3 linked regions of the Callithrix jacchus genome follow. The protein of the gene in region 1 interacts with the protein of each later gene in a biochemical or structural test. Links are inferred from orthologs where the notes say so. Each region holds a gene or a part of one and is shown in the gene's direction. Other genes may lie near its edges.

Region 1 (3,650 bases):
TCCTGCCTCAGCCTCCCAGGTAGCTGGGACTACAGGCACACACCACCACGCCCAGCTAATTTTTGTATTTATAGTAGAGATGGAGTTTCACCACATTGGCCAGGCTGATCTTGAACTCCTGACCTCAAGTGATCTGCCCACCTCAGCCTCCCAAAGTATTGGGATTACAGGCATGAGCCACTGCACCTGGCCTAATTCACACCCAAGTCAGTTCAGTTACTAAATCCTGTTCTACCTACCTTTTCATAACTCACAGATCCACTCTCTGCTTTTCCACCATAGAATAGGTAATGGTTGACATTTTTAGTAGACTTTTCAGTAGACATGAGATAGTTGAAATAATGGGCTTTGGAGTCACCCTGACATAGTTTTAAACCCTTAATGGCCTTGTGATCATAGGGAAATTATTTTTTGTGTCTACCCTCCATTTTCTCATATGTAAAACTGCTGCAAGAATCCTATGAAGCACATACTTCATAGGATTACCATGAAGATAAACAAAATTATGCCTAGGCCTTAGTCACTCAACCTACACAGTCAACTCCACCTGTCATCACCTCCTCCAGTCCTCCCCACACTTACTATAACCTCCTAAGTCACCTCTCTGACAATACCTGTTTTGTATTATTACCTCATTTCCTCTATTCTTTCGGACTTCCCATGTCCCTTTTCCACATGGATCAAATTCTTAATCGCTTTAAGGCCCATATCTCTGCTCCTCCTGCTTGGGCACCCCCTTCTTACTGCTTCCACAGATTCTGTAGCATTTTAGTACATACTTGTTTCTGACACTTTGTTTCTTGTATCCTAGTTAAGTTCCTATATTGCTTCCTTTTTCAAATTAAGTCTCCTTGAGGTCCATTCACATCTGCTTCATTTTTTTCCTTCCAGAGTCTTAAATAGAAGTTGCTCGATAAATACTCATAACTAGGATCAATTTGAAAGTTTGATGTCATTTTCAGAGTTTTGGTGAGCCCCTGGAAACAAATGGAAATGATTTTAAAATTGGCACCATTCATATTTTAACAGATTTCATTGCATTCTCCTTCATAGATAGAGTTTAAAGAGAATTGTACTATAATATTTTCCGTTTTCTTAACTTGGAGTAAATACTTTGAGGTCTTTGGAAGCACCCCAAAGAGACAGAAAAACGGCTTTCTCAAACACTTACATACCTGTTTATGGTAGTAAAAATTGCTGTAGCACATTTTTTTAAGAGAACGATTTGGCAATATCCAAATCCAAATTTGGATTTTGGCAAAATCCCAAAAAAAATAAGTGCCAGAATTTAAATGCACTTATTCTTTGACTCAGCTATGCCCATTGTTAGGGATTTACTCTAGATTACCTCTAGAAGTACCAAGTGCCAAGTTCAGGATTATTCACTCTACTCAAGAAAGTAATTAAATTATCCACACAATGTAAAACTATATAGAAATTAAATAAATTTAGTATAAAGCTGTTGGTGTTTAGAAAGTGCTACAAGATACATTAATAAGTGAAAAGAGCAAGATACATAAAGTGATCCTGGCCAGGCACAGTGGCTCATGCCTGTGATCTCAGCACTTTGGGGGGCTGAAGTGAGAACATAACTTGAGCCCAGGAGTTGGAGACCAGCCTGGGCATAGCAAGACCCTGTCTCTACAAAAAAAGAAAAAAAATTAGCTGAGCATAGTAGCACCTGCCTGTGCTCCCAGGTACTCAGGAGGCTATGAGGTGGAAGGATCGTTTGAGCCCAGGAGGTCAAAGCTGCAATGAGCCATGTTCACACCACTGCACTTCACCTTGGGTGACAGTGAGAGAGAACCTGTCTCGAAATTAAGTTTTCTCTTTTGTAGACATTTTAGAAAATCTAAAGTCTGTGAGATATATTGGCCTTTTTTTCTCCACATACACAAAAAAACCAAAAACACAAATCGTCAGAAGTAAGTGGTTACATTTGGGGAAAAGGAAAAGGGATTTCATTTTTTGTTTTGTATTTTCCCTTTTTGTGGTGTCTAAGATGTGTATGTATCAGCTGAGTATATCTTCATATAGCATCACAGACCTTATAGGATTTTTCTTTATATTACTTTGCATTTTTTAACCCAAAGCATTTATGAAATTATTGGGGTAGGGAAAGGAAAGAGTTTTCTTGTGATTAGGAGTGGGTAGGTGGGTTTAAAGTATTCAGACGTAAAATTTATTGAAAAGTCATTCTTCATAATGCATTTGATACTAAGAATTTGTCCAACATTGAAGGAAAAAAATCAATGCAGTTGTGTTTTCTGTGTACTAAATTGGCTATTCAGGTTTAGTCTTTCTTAATCTAAATAGCTGTCTATGCTGAAGAAATAGAAAATGTGCAATAAGAACAAACCATCTTTGTGGCCGAATATGAAAACAGAATTCATAGGAGTGAATACTTTCTCTACCTGAACATTGATAACAGAAAGTCCTCCCACTTCTGCTTCAGTTCCTCTCTGTTCAGGATATGAATATAAGGATGATGAGGTATATGCACATGTGTTTCTGTATCAGAAGTTCCAGTTGTGCAAAGCTTTAACACTCTGGCTCTTTCTCCACAGATTGCTAGTGCAACTACTGCTCCATCGATCCCATCACATCTGTCTCCCGGTTTACGAGATGTGGCTCTTCGTTGTTTAGAACTTCAACCTCAGGACAGACCTCCATCAAGAGAGCTACTGAAGCATCCAGTCTTTCGTACTACATGGTAGCCAATTACACAAATCACCTACAGTAGAAACAGGATGCTCAACAAGAGAAAAAAAACTTGTGGGGTACCACATCGATATTCTACTGGCCATGATGCCACTGAACAGCTATGAACAGGGCCAGTGGGGAACCCTTACCTAAGTATGTGATTGACAAATCATGATCTGTACCTAAGCTCAGTATGCAAAAGCCCGCAACTAGTGCAGAAACTGTAAACCGTGCCTTTCAAAGAACTGGCCCTACGTGAACAGGAAAACAAGTTTGCATGACTAAATGGCAGAAGCATAATTTTATTTTTTTGGAGCACTTTTTCAGCAATATTAGCAGCTGAGGGGCTCAGGATCTATTTTAATATTTCAATTATTCTTCCATTTCATATAGTGATCACAAGCAGGGGGTTCTGCAATTCCGTTCAAATTTTTTGTCACTGGCTGTAAAATCAGTATCTGCCTCTTTTAGGTCAGCGTATGCTATGAGTAGCAGTACATACATATATTTTTAAAAGTTGATAACTTCTTTATGACTCATAGTTGGCCTTTATTTTTAAATACTTGGACAATTGTGGCTCATTGTGCATTTTACTGTTGGCCCATTCATTTCGTTTTTGGAAATTATGGTTCTGTATTTTCATTTTTACAATTATTTTTGTTTAATATTCAGGGAAAGGTGATCTTTTCAAACCAGAAAAAAAAAAAACTAGATATGAACTAGAGTTCATTAAATATCTTGCTATTGTAAAAGTTTTTTAAAGTACAGACTTAATTTTGTTTTTTAAATTGGAATACAATAAAGTGCTACCTACATTTACAGTCACCACTCTTATTACTGTGCAGGTAAAATATAAGTTAACTAAAAATTAACTGTTCTCTGTGATGAAGCTCACAACCAAGATCAAGATTACCTTAAAATATATTTGATTTTTTAGATGTTTTGGT
Region 2 (4,358 bases), on another chromosome or scaffold:
GAGGGCCTCACCTTTAGGATGCCCCAGGAGCATAAAGAGCAGGGTGGGCGACTGATTTCCTGATGGGAATCCAGTGATGTTTATAAGACCTGGACTTGGAGATATTTAGCAGTCAGCCAGGCACAAGGAGGAGAATTCCGGAGGCTCCCCACTTAAGTACTTAAGTACATCTACCTGCTCTCCCCTTCAGTTTGCCTTTAATGCCTCTCCACTCGACTTTTATGGCTAGTGACTTTTAGGATCTGAGCAATCAAGGTGATGGATGAAGTTGGGTTTGGAACAGGAAGGCAGAACTATTTTGACCTAGGATACTTTTCTAACAATCTGTGAGGAACTTTCAGCATCAAATAAGGTCTGGGTGGAAGGAGTTTGGGGAAAGAAGTCTAGGCATACACAATGCTTCTAAATGGCAGAAAATGTCCATCTCCTTGGCTTAGATTCTTTGGGATGTAGGATAGCTGGTCATTCTATTTTAGGCAAGACTGCCTGGCTAGAAACCCGTGTCTTCCCATTTCAAGTACATTATGGTTGGCTCTCAAATTCTAGTCTCACAGAGAACTAGTTTTCTTCGTTTAGTTGCTGTCTTCCTAAAATAAAAGTCTCTGTGCAAAGCAATGGAAGAAACCTCATATCGTTTTTTGGGGTTGTCATTTTATGTAACTTACAGTAATGACTATGGCTAGTCTTACACAAGATGTAAAGGATTTGGGGGCGGGAATCCAGTCTGCCTTTAGCGGAAGATGGTGATGTAGATAATATTATTTCAGGAGGCTGGAGTGTTGGGTGCTTAAAGATATGCTTCTCACATTTAATGAACATGTGAATTACCTGGCGGTATTGTTAAAATGTAACCTCTAATTCAGTAGTTTTGGGATGGCTCCATGGATAGCACTTTGGTTAGTGCCGCTTAGGACTCCCCCTTCCCCTCAGAGAAGTGTAGAGGGTTGGGGTATTGAGCTTAAGAGGAGTTCCAGACTGTAACCTAGCTACAGGTAACTTCCCTCTGGAAGTGGAGCGACTGGAGGAGAAAGGGATCCCTGGGATCCTTTTCAGCTTTACTATTCTGACTTTGGGTTCTGAGATTCCAAGAAAGGGGACTTTTGGGAGTCACATGCTTCCATGAGAATGATGAAAGCTGTGTACCCTCTCTCCCCACAAATGCAGAACGATTTTTAATTCTGCAAACCACTTTAGGCCCCGCGGGCCCGCAGCCCTAGTCCAACACGGCTTTCGGCTTCCCAGGTCCCGCACCCCGAGACCGGCGGTTCTGCAGCTCAGCATCTGGCGCGGGATACGCCTCCGGCTCGGGCGGGGGCGTGTCCAGAGGCGTGTCAGGCCGTGTTGGAGGCGGGGCCAACGCGGGCAAGCCGCGCCCCTCGGCCGTGCGAGAGGCCGAGCTTACTGCATTGCAGCCGCCGCGGCGCCGCTCGGCTCTTCACTCCCAACAATGGCGGCTCCGAGCCCGAGCGGCGGCGGCGGCTCCGGGGGCGGCAGCGGCAGCGGCACCCCGGGCCCCGTAGGGTCCCCGGCGCCGGGCCACCCGGCCGTCAGCAGCATGCAGGGTAAGGAACGCGGCCGCGCCGAGACCCCGGCCCCCTCGCGCGGCAACCCGCGTCGTCGCGGCCTGCCCCAGCGGACGGCCCCGGACCCGGCTGAGGAAGCTACGGCAGTCGCCGGCGTCTCCCTCTCTCCCTCCCCGGCTTCCCCGCCGCCTCCGGCCCAGCTTGGATCCGGGCTCTGGCCCGCACAGGCCCCGGCCTCGGCCTCTGCCTGCGCTTGGCCCCTGGGCCCTGCCGGGCTCCCCGCCGGCCCGCGGGGCCCACCTGGCCCGGGACCGCCCCCGCGGCCGCCCCCATCGCGCCCGCCGCTTACCTGGCGCCCGCCTGGCCCCGGTTTCCGGGAACGCGCGGGCCCGGGGCTGCGGCGGGGCGGGAGGGGCGTCGGGCCTGGCTCCCGTCCCTGACGCCGCTCAGGTAGGCGGCGGAGACAGCGGCCCCGGCCGGCGCCCCTCGGCCCGGTCGCCGCAGTGGGCCCGGCTCAGGGCCATCTTGGCTCTCGCCGGGCACAGCTGGAGCCAGACCACCGAGCCGACCTCGGGCTCGGCGGACCTCTTGGAACCTGCGTTTTGAAACTTTTGCAGGGTTTCTGTGCGCTGGAAGGGATGAGGGTGGGGGGCGAGTTGCTCAGTCCTGTGCCACCTGTAAGGTAGGTAGATAGGCTGCCATTGGCCTGGGAGAGGCATTTTGTCCCAGGCCAGGGATTTCTGTGTTAGCAGGAAGGGGGAGGAGGGGAACAGAAGACTGAATTCGGTTTAAAAAGAGAGATACAGGAAATAGGCAGGGGTCAAAGTGATACTGTCGTGTCTGGACATCTGAGGCAGCTCTGCTAATTAATGGCTTTGCCCACTGGGAATGCCTATTAACTCTGTATGGTTCTTGACAGGGGGTGTTGTGAAAATATCAGGCCCGAGCCTGTTGGGGACCATTTCCTTAAATTTACTGGGAAATTTTGAGTAGTAATGCTATTTTTAAGACAGGGAATTTCAGAAATCTCTTGACAACTTTAGCAAACGTCTTATGTTGAATTGGTATCAGAATAAGGGTCGGGTACCTTTGGTAGTCGGTGTGACCATGGTTACTTTTTGATTGCATTCTTCTTAAAGGGCTTCTTGTATTTAGTTATGTTCAACAGACATTTATTGACTATTTCATGTTTATAGAGCATGCCATAATTCAGGAAGAAGAGACATGATTTTGTTTATCTTTACACCCCTGTCACCCTCGCCGTGAGATAATTTTAATATACATAAAAACCAATGATAGATATATAGGCAGGATGATGTCAGAGCTTAGAGGACACTTTCTGTTCAGGCCTAAGATAATTCATTCAAATTGAATTAGTTATTGGATGCCACTGTGTTGTACAGCACATTATACTGATGAAGTATAAGATTGGCTTCCTGACGGGACAGCTACCATCTAGGTGATAGTGGGGGGGAAATGAAGTGGCAAAATGACAATTTAGGATTGTATTTCTTGTGCCAGATGGGTGACTTAAGCTTATAAAAAGAAGGTGGTTTGTTTGTTTTATTGGTGGGGAAGCTGACAGTTTGAAATAACTGGATACAATTTTTTTTTTTTTTTGGTTCAAAAAATATTTATTGAACATCTGCATAGAACTCTTATGCTGAGTTTATAGAGAATTGGACCGTCTCTTCCCTGATGGAGGTTATCCTCTTGTGAAGATGGGGGAGGGAAGGCTATTTAGCTAAACATGAAAAATTCCTAGTTGGGAAAGTAATAAAGTAACAAGCTGGGTTTTGCGGTAGAAGATAATAGAGGGCAGTCCGCTTGATAAGATGGTCAGGAAGGCGTGTCTGGAAAGCTAACTGTCTTTTACTGAAGGGCGGTTCTGGACAGAGGGAACAGTGTGTAAGAAGGTTCCAAAGCAGGGAAGGGCTCAGAGTGTTCTAGGAACTCTTAAGTTGTGTGGTTAGGAATTTCTCTGATGCTCTCCATTCTCCTCAAACCTTGTATGTTGATATCCAGTAAAGTAAACTTTCTAATAAGCAGAACGAACCCATTTTAGATGGGAAAAGGACTTAAGACCTCTCTTTGAATTATTGCTGAATTTTCTTTTGTATCAATATTGTGTCTAGGCTTAATTGATTCAGGAATTTGTTCTATCTTGTTTTTGAAACTTTTCATTTGTCAGAATGAAGAGAAGTGCTTGAAATTCTCAGGATCTTGTCTAGCACAGTCTAAGTTATAAAGCTTGATCTTAAGCAGCAATTTAGGATCTTTCTTTTTGTTTTGTTCGGTGAAGAGTCATACCTCCCGGCCAGGCGCGGTGGCTCACGCCTGTAATCCCAGCACTTTGGGAGGCCGAGGCGGGCGGATCACGATGTCAAGAGATCGAGACCATCCTGGCCAACACGGTGAAACCCCGTCTCTACTAAAAATACAAAAAATAACCAGGCATGGTGGCACGTGCCTGTGGTCCCAGCTACTCGGGAGGCTGAGGCGGAAGAATCACTTGAACCCAGGAGGCGGAGGTTGCAGTGAGCCGAGATTGTGCCACTGCCCTCCAGCCTGGCGATAGAGCAAGACTCCGTCTCAAAAAAAAAAAAAAGAGTCATACCTCCCATACCATACTTAATCTACCAAGGAACTCCTTTTCCTTTGGATCAGACTTTACAGAGTGGGCCTTAGAAGATGTTTGATGTACTTCCATTCCTTCTTCCCCAATCTGGTTATACTTGCCACTCAAAAAACTTCCATTCTGGGAGTTGTTAATGACCATGCTCTTTAAAACAGCAGGATTCAGTTGTGGGACATGAGGAATGTTTCATGCAGTAG
Region 3 (3,650 bases), on another chromosome or scaffold:
GACAAAGTAGAATAGTTAACTCTGTCAGGGACTAGGGATTGTCAGAATCTACAAAGAGGTTCATCTGGAAGATAATTAAGTTCGGTAGATAAATAATAAGCATAGAGAATTGTTTGTTTAAAAATATCATTTTTAAAATGACATTTTTGAAACTTATTGCTAGCTAAAGTATAATATGGGACTTAGCAGGAGATAAAGTGAGTTGAGGCTTATCTTGGAGGCTTTTTAATATACTGCAAGTGCAAGGGAGTTTCAGAATATATTTGTCGGCTTTAAATTTTTGAGGAGTTAAGTAATATGGTCAGGTCTTTCTTTTACCATGTTATAGGTGGTAAGTGGTAGCTGGATTTGTATAAAACCATCGTTAGTGACCCTACTTGTCTTAGTCAGCTCAGGCTACCATAACAAAATACTGTACACTGGGTGTCTTAACAGATTTATTTCTCACCATTCTATAGGCTGGGAAGGTCAAGATCAATTCTTGATGAGGGCCTGCTTCCCGACTTAGAGGTGGCCAACTTTTCACTTTGTCCTCACTTGCCTTTCTTCAGTGTGTGCTCAAAGAGAGGGAAAGAAAAATTGCTCTTTCTCTTCTCTTGTTTTAGGCCACTAATTCCATTGTGAGGGCCCCAAGCTCATGACCTAATCTAACCCTTATTACCTTCCAAAGTCCCCATTTCCAAATATCACACTGGGGGCTAGGACTTAAACATATGAATTGTGCGGAGTAGGGGTGTGGGGGAAGACAATCAATCTGTAACACTAGTGTTAGAAGGAGTTACAGCATGAACAGTCTAGATAAGATGTTGAAGTCTTCAACCTATTTATAGCACAGGGAATGGAAAAAAGAGATTGATGGTCAGACTGACAGTAGAATGGACAGCATTCTATGAGTATTTATTATGGTGCAGATACTGAAAAAGGAGTCAAAAATCACTCTGAGCCTTCTTTTGTAAAAGAGAGGGTGTACTGAAAAAGTAAGCGGTTTTGGTAGGAATGAAAATGAATTCAGTGTTATCTTATTTGTGAAATGTCTATGCAGAAAGTGAAAAGAAATAGATTAAGCACAGTAGTGGGAATGAAGGGATATGCTTATGGATGAGCCAGTGAAATAGACTGGGAATGAAGAAAGCTGGGCAAGTGCAGTATTATGAAAAACCAAGGGAGGAAAGAGCTGAGATTATATAGGGACACTTAATTGGAAAATAACTGGTAGAAGGCATTTAAAATTTGCTGATAAATTGTGTAGAGATTTGTATAATGTAAGGTAAGTGCTTGATAATTGACTTCATAAATGGAATTACAGATAAATGGGTTACACATCCTCTGTACCTCCACCTATCCATTACCTCCTCCAACTCCTGCCCATAAAGTGGCAGTATGTAACATAAAAGCAATTACTTGAGATTAGAATATAAAGAAAGATTTTAAACTGATGTTAGTTTTTTTTAACCCATGTATTTGTAGTTCCCAAATTAAATTATTAGGAAGTAATTTCTAATTTTTCTGTCCCTCGGCTTTTACCATAGATAATTGGCCTTTTGAATGTTTTCACACCACAGAAATCCCTAGAAGAATTTCAAGATGTGTAAGTATAATAATTAAAATTTGTTAAGTTAATACATTTTTCTTAGATTGCTGCTGGACACTTTAGCTGTTCTCTTTTTTCACCCATGAAGTTACATAGTCATGGAGCTCATGGATGCAAATCTTTGCCAAGTAATTCAGATGGAGCTAGATCATGAAAGAATGTCCTACCTTCTCTATCAGATGCTGTGTGGAATCAAGCACCTTCACTCCGCTGGAATTATTCATCGGGTTAGTAGAAAAAAACTATCAGCATATACCCTTCGTTTTCTCATTAAGGTGAAATTCACATTAACAAAAGTAACCATTCTAAAGTGGCATTTGGTACATTCACAGTGTTGTACAACTACCACCCACATTAAATTCAAAAATATTTTTGTTACCCCACAAGAAGACCTCACATTTCTTTAGCAGTTCTGCATCTTTGTCCTGGCGTGATACCAGTCTGCTTTCTGTGTCTATAGATTTGCCTGTATATTTCCATTTATGTGAAATATAGCATGATGTTTTCAAGATTTCTCCATGTTGCACCATGTATCAATAGTTCATTCCTTTTTATGACTGAATACTATTCTATATACCAATTTTGTTTATCCATCCATTTATTGATGGACATTTGTATTATTTCTACCTTTCAGCTATTATGGATAGTGCTATGAAAATTCACGCACAAATATCTGTTTTCAGTCCTGGGTATATACCTAGGACTGGAACTGCTGGGTCATACGGTAATTCTCTAGTTAACTTTTTGAGGAACCATCAAACTGTTTGCACAGTGACTGCACCATTTTACATTCCTACTAGCAGTGTATGAGGGTTCCAGTTTCCTCACATCCTTGCCGGTATTTATCTGACTTTATAAATTCTAGCCATCCTAATGACTATGAAGTGGTGTTCCTTGTAGTTTTACTTTGCATTTCCCTAACGACTAATGTTGAGCACTTTTCATGTGCTTGTGGCCATTTGTGTGTCTTTGGAGAAATGTGTATTTAAGCCCTTTGCTCATTTTTAAATTAAGTTATCTTTTTGTCGTTACTGTAGCATTTCTTTATGTATTCCATGTTTGAAACCTTTATCAAGTATATAATTTGTAAATATTTTCTCACATTCTGTACGTTGTTCACTTTGCTGATGATTTCCTTTAATGCACAAAAGCTGCAATTTTAATGAAATACAATTGTTTCTTTCATCACTTGTGCTTTTGGTATGTGCCACTAAACGTGGCAGTTTAGTTGTGCCAGCACCATTTGTTAGCAGCTATCACCACCATCCATCTCCAGAATTCTTTTTATCTTGTGAAGCTGAAACTCTGTACCCACTAGACAGTAATTCCGTATTTTCCTCTGCCTGCAGCCCCTGACAGCCATCATTCTATTTTCTGTCTGTATGATTTTGGCTACTGTAAACACCTCATATAAGCAGAATCATGCAGTATTGGCCTCCTTGCACCTAGCTTATTTCACTTAGCATAATGAGCTGAAGATTTATCCATGTTGCAGCATATGTCAGAATTTTCTTCCTTTTTAAGACTGAATAATATTCCATTTATGTATATACCATACTTGCTTATCCATTCGTCGATCAGTGGACACTTGGGTTGGTTCTGCATTTAGCTGTTGTCCAAGTATCTGTTTGAGACCCTGCTTTCAGTTCATTTGGTCATATAGCCAGAAGCAGAATTGCTGTATCACATGGTGATTCTGTTCAACATTTTGAGAAACTGCCACATTGTTTTCCATAGCAGCTCTACCAGTTTACATTCCCACCAATGGTGCAGAAGGGATTCAGTTATTCTTCATTCTTACCAACACTTTTATTTTTTTTCATAGTAACCATCCCAATGGATGTGAGGTGGTTTCCAATTGTTTTTAAGTTGCCTTTTTCTAGGTTCTGAGTTCACTCGATTGCCATAAATCAAGTGAATATTTTCACTTGAATATTCAATTATTCCTCATCCTTACCAACACTTTATTTTTTCATAGTAACCATCTTAATGGGTTTGAGGTAGTTTCCTATTGTTTTTAAGTTGCCTTTTTCTAGGTTCTGAGTTCACTTGATTGCCA

The links.
Region 2: of the proteins of MAP3K1 (region 1) and MAP2K4, one has a biochemical effect on the other in vitro, tested with the Homo sapiens proteins (7 studies listed by BioGRID and IntAct, with this or other methods). The link is inferred for Callithrix jacchus from reciprocal best matches to the Homo sapiens genes MAP3K1 and MAP2K4.
Region 3: of the proteins of MAP3K1 (region 1) and MAPK8, one has a biochemical effect on the other in vitro, tested with the Homo sapiens proteins (3 studies listed by BioGRID, with this or other methods). The link is inferred for Callithrix jacchus from reciprocal best matches to the Homo sapiens genes MAP3K1 and MAPK8.

Annotation. Positions count from the first base shown.
Region 1 is NC_133503.1:152,985,479-152,989,128, reverse strand, and holds part of MAP3K1 (mitogen-activated protein kinase kinase kinase 1), read left to right. Parts: intron 1-779; exon of another isoform or gene 780-977; intron 978-2,567; coding exon 2,568-2,717; 3' UTR 2,718-3,650. UniProt on the Homo sapiens protein: Component of a protein kinase signal transduction cascade. Activates the ERK and JNK kinase pathways by phosphorylation of MAP2K1 and MAP2K4. May phosphorylate the MAPK8/JNK1 kinase.
Region 2 is NC_133506.1:78,530,565-78,534,922, forward strand, and holds the start of MAP2K4 (dual specificity mitogen-activated protein kinase kinase 4), read left to right. Parts: upstream 1-1,437; 5' UTR 1,438-1,447; coding exon 1,448-1,562; intron 1,563-4,358. UniProt on the Homo sapiens protein: Dual specificity protein kinase which acts as an essential component of the MAP kinase signal transduction pathway. Essential component of the stress-activated protein kinase/c-Jun N-terminal kinase (SAP/JNK) signaling pathway.
Region 3 is NC_133513.1:40,480,885-40,484,534, reverse strand, and holds part of MAPK8 (mitogen-activated protein kinase 8), read left to right. Parts: intron 1-1,529; coding exon 1,530-1,588; intron 1,589-1,679; coding exon 1,680-1,818; intron 1,819-3,650. UniProt on the Homo sapiens protein: Serine/threonine-protein kinase involved in various processes such as cell proliferation, differentiation, migration, transformation and programmed cell death.